3 linked regions of the Saccharomyces cerevisiae S288C genome follow. The main gene of each other region encodes a partner of the protein of the gene in region 2 in a complex. Each region holds a gene or a part of one and is shown on either strand. Other genes may lie near its edges. A codon is read from its position in the direction of its gene.

What was found.
Region 1: the proteins of HER2 (region 2) and GTF1 are in contact, whole or in part, in a crystal structure (PDB 4N0I), measured with the Saccharomyces cerevisiae proteins. Residues at the interface, in NP_014021.1 of Saccharomyces cerevisiae: Phe72 (codon at 1,831), Lys73 (codon at 1,828), Pro75 (codon at 1,822), Lys82 (codon at 1,801), Phe177 (codon at 1,516), Lys212 (codon at 1,411), Ile239 (codon at 1,330), Val240 (codon at 1,327), Lys241 (codon at 1,324), Glu242 (codon at 1,321), Phe243 (codon at 1,318), Ser244 (codon at 1,315), His245 (codon at 1,312), Glu246 (codon at 1,309), Tyr256 (codon at 1,279), Leu257 (codon at 1,276), Leu260 (codon at 1,267), Glu261 (codon at 1,264), Ile264 (codon at 1,255), Glu269 (codon at 1,240), Ile270 (codon at 1,237), Tyr271 (codon at 1,234), Pro272 (codon at 1,231), Val273 (codon at 1,228), Ser274 (codon at 1,225), Ile275 (codon at 1,222), Pro276 (codon at 1,219), Lys279 (codon at 1,210), Asn280 (codon at 1,207), Leu282 (codon at 1,201); in NP_011616.3 of Saccharomyces cerevisiae: Gly29 (codon at 2,028), Ala30 (codon at 2,031), Lys31 (codon at 2,034), Ile32 (codon at 2,037), Gly33 (codon at 2,040), Lys34 (codon at 2,043), Lys35 (codon at 2,046), Phe36 (codon at 2,049), Met39 (codon at 2,058), Ile42 (codon at 2,067), Arg43 (codon at 2,070), Tyr45 (codon at 2,076), Leu46 (codon at 2,079), Arg48 (codon at 2,085), Val50 (codon at 2,091), Trp51 (codon at 2,094), Ser52 (codon at 2,097), Val53 (codon at 2,100), His54 (codon at 2,103), Tyr56 (codon at 2,109), Leu57 (codon at 2,112), Ile59 (codon at 2,118), Lys76 (codon at 2,169), Leu77 (codon at 2,172), Leu78 (codon at 2,175), Arg79 (codon at 2,178), Leu80 (codon at 2,181), Ser81 (codon at 2,184), Gly82 (codon at 2,187), Leu83 (codon at 2,190).
Region 3: the proteins of HER2 (region 2) and PET112 are in contact, whole or in part, in a crystal structure (PDB 4N0H), measured with the Saccharomyces cerevisiae proteins. Residues at the interface, in NP_014021.1 of Saccharomyces cerevisiae: Val56 (codon at 1,879), Leu69 (codon at 1,840), Phe72 (codon at 1,831), Pro75 (codon at 1,822), Phe76 (codon at 1,819), Arg176 (codon at 1,519), Phe177 (codon at 1,516), Gly178 (codon at 1,513), Val179 (codon at 1,510), Ile180 (codon at 1,507), Gln184 (codon at 1,495), Ser185 (codon at 1,492), Met211 (codon at 1,414), Lys212 (codon at 1,411), Asp213 (codon at 1,408), Pro214 (codon at 1,405), Thr215 (codon at 1,402), Ala291 (codon at 1,174), Glu292 (codon at 1,171), Ser295 (codon at 1,162), Asn296 (codon at 1,159), Ser298 (codon at 1,153), Arg299 (codon at 1,150), Tyr300 (codon at 1,147), Arg304 (codon at 1,135), Tyr305 (codon at 1,132), Leu319 (codon at 1,090), Phe320 (codon at 1,087), Arg324 (codon at 1,075), Asn339 (codon at 1,030); in NP_009473.2 of Saccharomyces cerevisiae: Tyr66 (codon at 2,218), Ile69 (codon at 2,227), Ala70 (codon at 2,230), Leu71 (codon at 2,233), Pro72 (codon at 2,236), Gly73 (codon at 2,239), Thr74 (codon at 2,242), Gln75 (codon at 2,245), Pro76 (codon at 2,248), Val77 (codon at 2,251), Arg105 (codon at 2,335), His107 (codon at 2,341), Phe109 (codon at 2,347), Tyr110 (codon at 2,350), Gly111 (codon at 2,353), Pro114 (codon at 2,362), Gln115 (codon at 2,365), Gly116 (codon at 2,368), Tyr117 (codon at 2,371), Tyr123 (codon at 2,389), Leu177 (codon at 2,551), Asp297 (codon at 2,911), Arg299 (codon at 2,917), Tyr300 (codon at 2,920), Met301 (codon at 2,923), Pro302 (codon at 2,926), Pro304 (codon at 2,932), Glu305 (codon at 2,935), Pro307 (codon at 2,941).

Annotation. Positions count from the first base shown.
Region 1 is NC_001139.9:693,979-697,078, reverse strand, and holds GTF1 (glutamyl-tRNA(Gln) amidotransferase subunit F), read left to right. Parts: upstream 1-1,943; coding exon 1,944-2,495; downstream 2,496-3,100. Other genes in the region: mRNA-binding ribosome synthesis protein NOP7, read right to left, coding at 1-1,662; rhomboid protease PCP1, read right to left, coding at 2,676-3,100. UniProt on the Saccharomyces cerevisiae protein: Allows the formation of correctly charged Gln-tRNA(Gln) through the transamidation of misacylated Glu-tRNA(Gln) in the mitochondria. The reaction takes place in the presence of glutamine and ATP through an activated gamma-phospho-Glu-tRNA(Gln).
Region 2 is NC_001145.3:854,750-858,482, forward strand, and holds HER2 (glutamyl-tRNA(Gln) amidotransferase subunit HER2), read right to left. Parts: upstream 2,045-3,733; coding exon 650-2,044; downstream 1-649. Other genes in the region: GOT1 (Got1p), read left to right, coding at 46-67, 150-544; JNM1 (Jnm1p), read left to right, coding at 2,217-3,338; GSR1 (Gsr1p), read right to left, coding at 3,548-3,733.
Region 3 is NC_001134.8:72,445-76,717, reverse strand, and holds PET112 (glutamyl-tRNA(Gln) amidotransferase subunit PET112), read left to right. Parts: upstream 1-2,022; coding exon 2,023-3,648; downstream 3,649-4,273. Other genes in the region: NUP170 (Nup170p), read right to left, coding at 1-1,459; YBL081W (uncharacterized protein), read right to left, coding at 3,746-4,273. UniProt on the Saccharomyces cerevisiae protein: Allows the formation of correctly charged Gln-tRNA(Gln) through the transamidation of misacylated Glu-tRNA(Gln) in the mitochondria. The reaction takes place in the presence of glutamine and ATP through an activated gamma-phospho-Glu-tRNA(Gln).

The sequences.
Region 1 (3,100 bases), on a different chromosome or scaffold from region 2:
CAATTTCTTTTCTTCTTCTTCTTCATCCACCTTTCTCTTTTTGTTCTTTGACTTATTGACATCCTTATCAGCTTCTGAAGTTTCAGAATATTTGATACCTTGTGCTTCCAATTCAAGCTCTTTTTGAGCTTGTAGCTCTTCGTCATCGTCATCATCTTCTTCTCCAGCAACAACTTCTTGATCTTCCTCCTCAACTTGATCTTCACTTTCACTTTCACTTTCACTTTCTTCTTCTTCGCCTTCTTCGACAGGAGCAGTTGGATCGTAACCAATAGCATCACCCCATGGGCTTAAGTGAGGTGGAAGAGCCTCCCCTGGAAGATATTTGTTGGCAGGTACCAATTCGCCTTTATTGATACAATCAAATATCCACTGTGGCTGAATATACGTTCTGCCAGCTACCTTGTTTTTCAAAACTGGCCTGTCAACAATTTGATGAGTGACCTTGGACATGTCAATATCCTTCTTATTTTCAATTTGGTCCATAGCAGCTTCACTGATGACATTACCACCACAAGATAAGATCAAGAACTCAAGAATATCGATCGGAACTTCTCTGCTAACGTAAAAAACAAATGCAGAAAACAAAGAAGCAACAGGAGAATCGTACTTACTTGGCTGTATTAAGATGTCACCCTTGTTCTTATTGTTATCCTCGAAAGTATCTAGTTCCGTTTCCTCATTTTGTTCCTTTTCTTGTTCCTTTTCTTGTTTCTTTTCTTGTTCTTCCTCCTTTTCTGTTTCATCAGTATTTGCCTCATCGGCATTCAAGGCAGACTTTAATGTCGATGCGTCCAAACTTTCAACTTTTACGTCTTCCTCAATCTCAGTTGGGTCAAGTTTTAGTAGGCTGTCTTCTTGTCTGGATTCTAGAATATATGATGACAAACCACTTATGATTTTATCCTTTTTAAGATCCAATTTTGGCGGATAAATCAACCCACTATCGGTGTATAACTTATATAGGACGAAATGCAATAGAGTCGAGTAGAATTCTAAGAAGGTCAACATAATTCTGAAATCAACGTCACTGGGGATGTTTTCTGGAAACTTGAATGGAACTAACCATCTAACTTCTTCACCCTTAATATTGGCTTGATAATAAACACCTTTAATGGATACAAACACTTTACGAACCAAGCGTTCCTTGGCAACATAGGCTAACCATTGATTACAGATTTTCTGAGCATCATTGATAATTTTCGAGGAAACCTGGTTGGTAGAGGGCAAATTAGAGAAAAGAAATAACATATTCAAAGCATCATCAATATCCCTTATAGCATCTGGGAAACTTGGATAACGCTCCTTGATAATATGGTCTAAAGTATAACTATCTCTGTTTTCCTCTAACCTTTTAGCAGAAGAGACTTCTCCCCTACCCAAAGCCCTTGTTAGTTTCCTAGCAAAAGTCTTGTGTTCTCTAAATTTAGCCAAAACGGGCTCATGCATTAGATATTGAATATCCTTAGCATAGTAAAAAGTAGTTGGTGCAGTAGAGCCCTTGTTTGCCTTCTTTTTATTTCTTGGCTCTCTAGGATAGATACCTTTGAATATACATAATCTTCTGAAATCAGCAAGAGAAACCTGTAATTTTCTCACAGCTTGAGATCTGGTAATAAAGTTTCTTGCGTTACCTCTGGTGTTTTTCTTCTTGATTCTCATTGTATAAGTAGGATACCGCTGTTACTATACTATTTTCTACAGGAATAAAATGTATTCCACCAGCAGGATTTACTACACATCTCTAATTAACCTTCCAAAATTTTTCATTTTTTCTCATCTCATCTCATCGCAAAAAATTTTCTTTAATTTTTTCAGGCAATAATAATAGTCACCACAGACGACATGACATTATTCTGTAAATATAACATCAAGGAGGTAATAGTGACTAGCATTTAGGCTTTTAGATCGAACTATTTGCACTTACCCATAGTGCTAGAACGATGTACAAAACATGGCGTCTATGCAGAACACATACAGTGGGTGGGTTATGCCATGATGGAAGTCATCGGTTCGTATCTACGGGAGGGGCAAAGATTGGTAAAAAATTTGAAAATATGAATCAAATAAGGGATTATTTATCAAGACCTGTATGGTCCGTCCACGAATATTTAGGCATAAACACTAAAGAGGAAAAACTAGAGCCACCGTCTGCTGAAGCTGTAAAAAAATTGTTGCGGTTATCAGGTCTTCCCTTGGAAGGAGCAGATATTAAAGAAATTCAAATGCGACTTGCCAAGCAATTATCATTCATCAACAAACTCCATAACATACCTGTCGAAGGTGAAAAGCACACCAAGGAATATGATGCTCGGTTGGTGCAAAGAAATACGAAACAGCTGAACTACACAAAGCTACTTGAAGGCATCAGCCACCAAAAGCAGGATGCTGAGCTAGGAGAAGTTAGCGGATCTTGGAAAGCAACTGGACTTGCCGCGGAATCCAAAAATGCATATTTTGTTGTCAAAGAGGGACTACTCAAAAACAGGAAGTAAGACTTAGAAAAGTAACACATACGCTCTATTCTATATATTCTTTTGCCTATGAATTTTCTTGTACATGTACCACCACGATAAGGCTGAAATATTTTTCAAATGCATAAATAAGATTAAGTACATAGAAGACATAGCAGTATTTACAATATTTCGAATGAGAATGTGTCTTTTTTTAAGTGATTAAAACCACCTACCAGCAGCCTGAAGGCGACGCTGCCTTTGTTTCTCTACAGCTTTACTTATATACCATCCGTACAAGACCCCCATCATAGAGCCACCTAAATGCGCAGCGTAATCAAATGACCCCCATCTTAAAGCACAACCAGCTGCATTCCATGCCACTGAAGCCAAGAATGCTACCCAAGCCCCACCTGGGACTGGGAAAACAAACAGCAAAATTTTAGCGTGTGGGAATAGATATGAAAAACATCCTAAAACCCCAAATAGCGCTCCACTGGCACCCAAGCTAGGTCCGACAATGGCTAGGCGTGCCAGTTTTGGATACCATAACGAAAACAAAGAACCTGCAATGGCACTATTCATATATAAGGAGAAAAAATTGGATGCTCCCAACATTGTTGCGAGTGAAGTACCAAAGGACCACA
Region 2 (3,733 bases):
ACAGTTCAGCCCAGTGATCATTTAGCTTACCCATCATCGCGTAAAATGTGGCTCACAGAGGCTCAAAGTATGTTTTTAATATTTTAGATGCTCTTTGCTTCTCCGAGAGACGTTAGTTCCTTTTTTACTAACAACTTACTTTTCACTAGAATTTGGTGTGGCCTTCACTTTCGGCGGTTTTCTCTTCTTTTTGTTTGGTATATTTACTTTTTTTGATCGTGCCCTATTGGCCTTGGGCAATATTTTGTTTTTAATTGGAGTATTCTTAATAATCGGTTCACAAAAGACATATATTTTTTTTACCAGGCCAAACAAAAGGCGCGGTTCACTATTTTTCCTAGTTGGTGCCTTCTTAATACTGTTGAAATGGACATTTTTGGGCTTTATAATTGAATCTCTAGGTATTATAGGTCTCTTTGGTGATTTTTTTGGCGTCATCGTACAATTTTTGAGATCAATGCCCATAATTGGTCCCATACTTTCTCACCCAGCAATCGCTCCAATAGTAGATAAATTAGCGGGAGTTAGGGTTCTGCCAGTATAATGGTAAAATTTTGTATGTGAATATCATAGATTAATTTTTTCGAACTTTCTATAGGTATAAAGTAAAAATAATAATATTTACATGATTAACGTTGTCCTCACAAATTTATGATATTGACTCGACAAAATCTAACACAGTGGAATCATCACCATATTGACCTACTACCTGTAAGCCAATCGGGGTCTTCTCTTTTAAAGGCATTGATAAACTTGGTAGTCCAGCCAATGACATTGGGACAGTAAAGACATCGTTTATATACGAGTTAGCCGGAGATTTGGCTTCCTCTTCTTCGAAGTCCCTTATGGATCCAGGAAGCTTGGACGATGTGGGAACTATCAGTAGATCTAGGCCGTCTGGATTTCCCTTAGAATTAGTTAAAACATTTGGAAATCTGAAGATCCCGTCAAATTCATCGATCAAATTAACTCGTAGCTTTTCTGCCTTAATAAAATTGTTCTTAAATGCATCTGAACAAAGATTATAATTACCTAGAATGATTCTATTCTTAACTTCTGTTCCGAATTTGGACCTAGTAGGTGCGAATAAAATACCGTCTTTTATATCGAGTTCTGAATCTCTGTATCCATATCTGATACCATCATACCTTGATAAATTGGAAGCCGCTTCAGCGGGTGATAGCGTATAATAAATCGGTAAACAGTTTTTTACAGATGGAATGGATACAGGGTATATTTCAAGCCCTAAATTTATCAGCTTTTCTAGTAAGGATAAATATAATCTGTGGAACCCAATGGGCATACTTTCATGGCTAAATTCCTTTACAATTCCTACCTTTAAAGGTCTCCTAACCTTTTTATTCCCTTCTATCAATTCACGCAATTCCACACTTAAGGAAGTGGGATCTTTCATGTCATATTTATCGAGCGTATGAAATACTTTTCGCAAGACGTTTATCTTTTTGCTAAGTATGCCAACAGTGTCTAAAGATTGAGAATACGCTATTACGCCAAATCTTGACAACCGTCCATAGGACGGCTTGAATCCTAAAACAGATCCATAGCATGCGGGGAGCCTAACGGAGCCACCAGTATCTGTTCCCAAGGCAAAATCGACTAGATCGCAAGCAACGCTTGCAGCGGCTCCAGACGATGAACCTCCCATGATCTTCTTGTCCTCATGAGGATATAAAGGGTTAATTACGGGCCCTCTTATTGAATGTACTCCCCCAGAACCCATTCCAAATTCATCTAAATTTGTCTTGCCTAAGATATGCACTCCTGCCTGTTTTAATAGTTTCACTACTGTTGCATCGAAGGGAGACTTGAAATTCTCAAGTATATGTGAGGCACATGTGGTTGGAAAATCTTTTGTAACTATATTATCCTTGATACTGGCAACGCAACCTGTCAATGTTTCTTTTGTACCTTTTTTATTTGTGATTGAATAAGGAGATGGATTGATACTAGTGAAAATATTATATTTTGATTGAAAACTAGATAATCTTTCGATTGATTCTTTTAAGGAGCGTTTCAGTGGCATTTTTGTATAATCAAAGTTAGGACTCCAATTGAGGGGCCATCTTTCCAGCACAAATAATAGTGTTTACAAGTATAGATGTACTATTACTTTTTTGGGAGCCAATGCATTTCAAAAAAAAAAAGAAGAGCAGATAAGTCATGAGGCTAAGAAAGATAAAGAAATCTACTGGTTGATGAACGTCATAGATTTAAGTGATCCTGCCATCAATGTGGATTATGATAGCTTGATTGGCATTGACAATGAGGAATCTCAAGAAATTTTTGAAAATGAAGTGAAGGAAGATGGACAACAAGAAGAGCAGGAAGAAGCATCTTCAAGAAAAGATGGGCTCATCGTTGAACCAGGGAGAGATGTTGAGAGTTTGAGAAGGGCTATTCGAGATCAGTTGCTTTTCAAGATACATAGACAAAACCAATCAGACTGTGCAGATGCGAGAAAGTTGAGTAACGATGAAGAAGATGAAAGTCGGCAACAGAAATTAGAAAGAATAAGAGAAGAATTGGAGGAGTTGAAAATAGAAAATTTAACATCTGAAATGCAAACTGAAATCAAGGAATTGTGCGAAATTCAATCAAAATTGGCGACGGAATCATCTAGTAGATTGACAAATTTGAGGAAGAAGCTTCTCGAAACATATGAAGGCCAAGATACCGTCATATTGCCAAACATAATTCTTGATACGAGTAATATCAAAAGATTGCAAAAGTTAGATCAGAAAATATCCCTAATGGAACGTTTTGTTGGCATACCAGAAGCTTTGGAGGCAGAAGAAGATAGGAAATCGGTTCATAGTAAAGTCAATGAACTATATAGAAGTATTCAACTTTTACAAGGCGATGATAAGGCGGAAGGAAAGCTGCAAAAGTTCCGGGATAGACTCGTAGAACTGAACGAGGAATTTGAAAACTCATTGTTAGGCAAGAAAATACAACAGGACTTGAGGTTGAAAGATGACACCGTGAGCAAGCTTGTTATGCCCGAAAACAAAGTAAAGGAGATAAATAGTATGTATTCCATGTTCAAGCAATATCAAGATTCACTACCACTGTTGGCGGAGAGGATGAAAAGTCTCAATAAAATGAACAACAGGGTGATCGAGGTGTACGAAACCACGAAAGGGCTGGATTCACAAATAACCAGCATCCAAGAACAAGGAAAAGTTTGGCTAAAGGCTTTAAATGAGCTGGATAAAAAATTCGATGAACAAGAGGTTAAAATTCGCGAAAATATGGAGCAGATCAGGCGTAAAATTGATACCCTCGAAGACGAAGCTCTACAGAGAAATAGCAAATAAAAGGCGGAGAAATAATTTTATAAACCAATTTAATTTCATTCTTCATTTTTTCGTCTCCATATGACAAAAAAATTGAAAATATGTGTGTGTATGTATATATAATAATAGTAATAATAACAATATGAAATATGAAATATCCAAAATAAGAGCGGAAAACAGAAATTATCATAAAAAAGAAAAAAATAAAGTCTCTAAAGGGTATCAAGCGCTTATTTCTTCTTCATTCTACCAAACAATCCCTTCTTCTTCTTCTTTTGCTTTTCCTCAGTCTGTACGTGTTGTTGTGGCTGATACACTGCTTGTTCACCATACATTTGACTGGAAGCACCACCCACTTGCTGTGGCATACCGTTCGCATCGTAAGTCACAGCAGCACCAAACACAGGGAAATCAGG
Region 3 (4,273 bases), on a different chromosome or scaffold from region 2:
CCTGTTGTTGATGTAGTAATTCTTGTTGGATGACTTCAGGAGTTACAGAACTAGGGGGGAACTTGATCGATTCTAACCTCAAAGCTTCGATGTTAAATCTGCCCATGGAACCATTAAAGTACAAACGCACACCACCTACTGTTAAAGCAACTAAAAACAAATTGTTGTTTTCTTCTGGTGCAACAGAGCTTATCTTGACAATTTTTAGGTATTTGGGGCCCAAAATCGGTGCTGCCCTTGCCGTCGTGGTACCTATGATCCTACTGATGTAGGCAGGCTCAATTGACATGGGTCCTTCCAGTGATTTTTCTGTTATTACGTATGCTCTAATGGTGGATTTGGAGGATAATGAATAGATGATTCCTCTTTGTTGGTCAATAGTTAGTTGCGTGATGGTCTCTTGAGAAAATCCGCCATTACCGTTAGAATTATCTTCGAACAAAGCCTGAATAAAATCAACACCTGGAATCTGCGATAACATGTTAGTAGGTAGAAGACTTAATAGGGCAGACTTTGTCAGACAGACCTTACTACATTTACTATTGAACCAGTCATCGGAACCTGAGTAGTGCAACTCCCAGATATTCAGGCCACTGGCTTGGCCTGCGAAGAAAATTCTACCCGATCTTTCATGAGACACAATGTCTATTACATCAATGCCTTGTACAGGGACTGATAGATGTGTATTGAATACACTGAGTTCGTTGGTGGCTTTGTCTAAGGAAATAGCAAACATGAAAAGCTCCATTGTCGTGCTTATCAAAAGTAGATGCTTCACGGCAGGCACAAAGGTGTTTGGCTTAGGTCTTACCAAGGCGACTTTTTGAATGGTATGCTTCATATCATCTACCACCTGATACTCATTGTCATTGTTAATATTCCAGAGTATCAGTTTATTATCAATAGTTATCCAACATCGATTTAACTCCGGGAAAATACCCATATCAGTTTTTGTCTGTGAAGTGGAAAATTCATGCAAAATCTCGTCCGGAATGTTGAACACATCTTGCTTTTCAAATGGAGTAAACGCTCCTAAGCCGTTTTTTTCTCTGCTGAAGTTATAATCTACCCCGCTGTTATAATAAGATCGTTCGTCGAGTACGGGAGTGTTACTATCTTTATGTTGTAGATGGTCAATGTACTTTCCCGCTAAGTCCAGGGGCTTAGAAGTCCCCATCCCGGAAACACGAATGTGCTCATTCATGTTGGACATATTAGGATTGATGCTGCCAGAGGTCGCCCCCATTGCGCTTGCCCTCATGAGTGGGTTGGACCCGGTAATTGGATATGAGTTTAATATGTGTGTAGGTTGTTGTTGCGCCTTGGTTGCAGATGAGGCCAACTCATTCAGTCCATTCCTGGGTACTTCTTGATGATTCGTTAAAGGGTACGATCTGCTATCTGAAAACGTTTCACCGGCAGCAGCGGGCCCATTGTTGTGGAAAAAACTTTGAAACATGAACAACCGCTAGAAAGAGAAGTAATAAACGCACTCTGCTTTTTTGTCCGCTTGTCAGATCCTAGGTTCCAGTAATTCTCCGAAAGAACTGTTCACTAATATGTTCAGAATTCTACAATATTAATGTCCCATCTCGAAAAATTGTTTTTTTTTTTACAAATAAAGTAACAATCCTTCGTGCAACACGATATAGAGTACATTGAAAGCGTGTCACAAAGAACACATCCATAATCATGGTCCATTGCAAACATTTCAAAGTAAAGAAGAGGATATTTGGGTCTTAGAATCTCATTGGAAACAATCCTCGTTTACTAGAGACGTTAATTCCACTTTCAAAAGCCCTGAAAGATTAACTTTCTGATTTTAGGTTTATTATTTTTTTGTTGTATGCCCTTGTTAAAAATTTAAATAACCCTTGTTTAGATAGGGTTTAGTTTTCCCTTTTGTTATGATAATAGTAGTTATAGTAGTAATAAGCTTGACGTGATGTACTTAGTCGTACCACCTAGTAATAGTGTTATTGTTAGCATTCCTGTCCAAAAAGACCAGAGTAGGAACTAGATATGTTGCGGCTTGCACGTTTTTATTCTTTGGCCAGAACCAAAGCCATACATAGTCACGGTGCACCCTTCAGGCCGGAATATGCATTGAAGTGTGGATTGGAGATTCATACGCAATTGAACACCAAAAACAAGCTTTTTTCACAATCAACGAATAGCGCCACATCTCTAGTGGATGCACCAAACCATCATACTAGTTATTATGACATAGCTCTACCGGGAACGCAGCCGGTTTTGAATCTGGAAGCAATCTTGTTTGCCATGAAACTATCCTTGGCACTGGGTTCTCAAGTGAATAGCATATCTCAGTTTGATAGGAAGCATTATTTTTATGGAGATCAACCTCAAGGCTATCAACTGACGCAGCACTACAGGCCGTTTGCTCGGGGTGGGAAGATCAATCTGTCGAAGGAATTGGATGATATCGATGAATCAGCCAAGGAAATCGGTATCTTACAGTTGCAGATAGAGCAGGACACGGGGAAGTCACACTATACAGAGACAGATAAAGACGTTATTACTTTGGTTGATTTAAATAGGTCGAACGTCCCGCTTATCGAATTGGTAACTAAACCAGATTTCAGTGATATTAAACAGGTTAGAGCGTTTATTAAAAAATATCAGAATTTGGTACGTCATTTGCACATTTCCTCTGGGGACCTGGAAACGGGCGCCATGCGAGTGGACGTTAACCTCTCAATTAATGAATATGCACGCGTTGAGTTGAAGAATTTACCCAATACTAGTTCCATCATCAATGCAATCAAGTACGAATATCAGCGGCAAGTTGAGTTGATTTCTGTGGGTGACACTAGCTCACTGATGGAGCCAGAAACAAGGGGCTGGACAGGCTCATCAACGGTGAAGTTGAGAAGCAAAGAAACCACGATCGATTACAGGTACATGCCTGATCCAGAATTGCCGTATATCAACCTCGCACCAGACGTTATCAGTGGTGTGAGAGGGTTGATGCCCCAATTACCGGACGATATAATGAGAATTCTTATGAAGAAACCCTATCAATTATCATTGAAGGACGCCAAGATTCTGACTTATAATAGTAACCAAAACGATATGTACAATCATGAGGCGTTGAGATCGTACTACTTAGACACCTTCCGTGAATTTTCCAAGCTTGCTGGTGAACGTAGTAACGCGAAATTACCTACGAATTGGATAATCCATGAATTCTTGGGAGATTTGAACAAGCTACAAATTCCATTGGCCAAAGCAAAAGAAATTTTGCCTCCTCCGGTTTTCGCCCAGTTTTTGAAGTTATTGCATGAAGAGGTTATATCCGCAACTAGTGGTAAAATGTTACTGTTTCACATATTGGAAAATTTCGAGCAGAGTAACTGCCAAGATTTGTCTATTCCAGATTTTTCAAAACTAATCGAGAAATTTGAATTGCATGCGATTAATCAGGTCGACCCTCAAGAATTGATGGATCTCTGTAATGATGTCATTGCACAGCACACAGATGACACTTTTATACGGAACCTGGTTACTGGTAAAAAGAAGTCCTCTTTAAAATTCCTAATTGGACAAGGAATGAGACGAAGCCAGGGACGTATAAAGGCAAACGAATTCGAGAAAAAATTCAAAGAGATCTTAAATATTCAATGGTAAAATATAAACGCCGCGTGTAAATAGGAACCGTGCATAAATAATAACAATAATAGTAATACTAATGATAATAATATACATAAAAATATACGTAAACATCTCAACTCCAAACGCTCATGTCAGTATTCCAAATGCCAAAGGGTCTTGATGATGCTGGTTGAGAGGATGAAGATACGTTCATGTGGTTAGACCCCCATCCTAAAGAAGAATCATTCATCAAGAGTGATGCGGACGAAGACATGTTCACTGGTGCCGTCGAAAAATCCTCCCTTTGCGATGGGGATGGTGAATGTTGCGGTGGGTTTATGTTGGTGCCAATAGAGCTAGATGTGGTGGAGGACATGAGCAGGGTTTGGCTTGCTGGTAGGAAAGATACAGTTGGTGGAGAATGTAGATCCGAGATAAGCGAACTGGACGTGGGGCCCACGGGTAAATCATTGATTAAATCGGCGGATGTCGATGTTGCAGTGGTTGGGTTGGTGTGCATAGAGTTGTTTGATGATGACGACGATAAATTTGTGGAAGCTGCCGAAGTTGACGGCAAAATGTATTCGAAGGTGCTTTGGTTGTATGGAGAGGATGAGTTAGAAGTGGAAGAAGTCAACGAGGGAGAGGAGTTCGAGTTGAA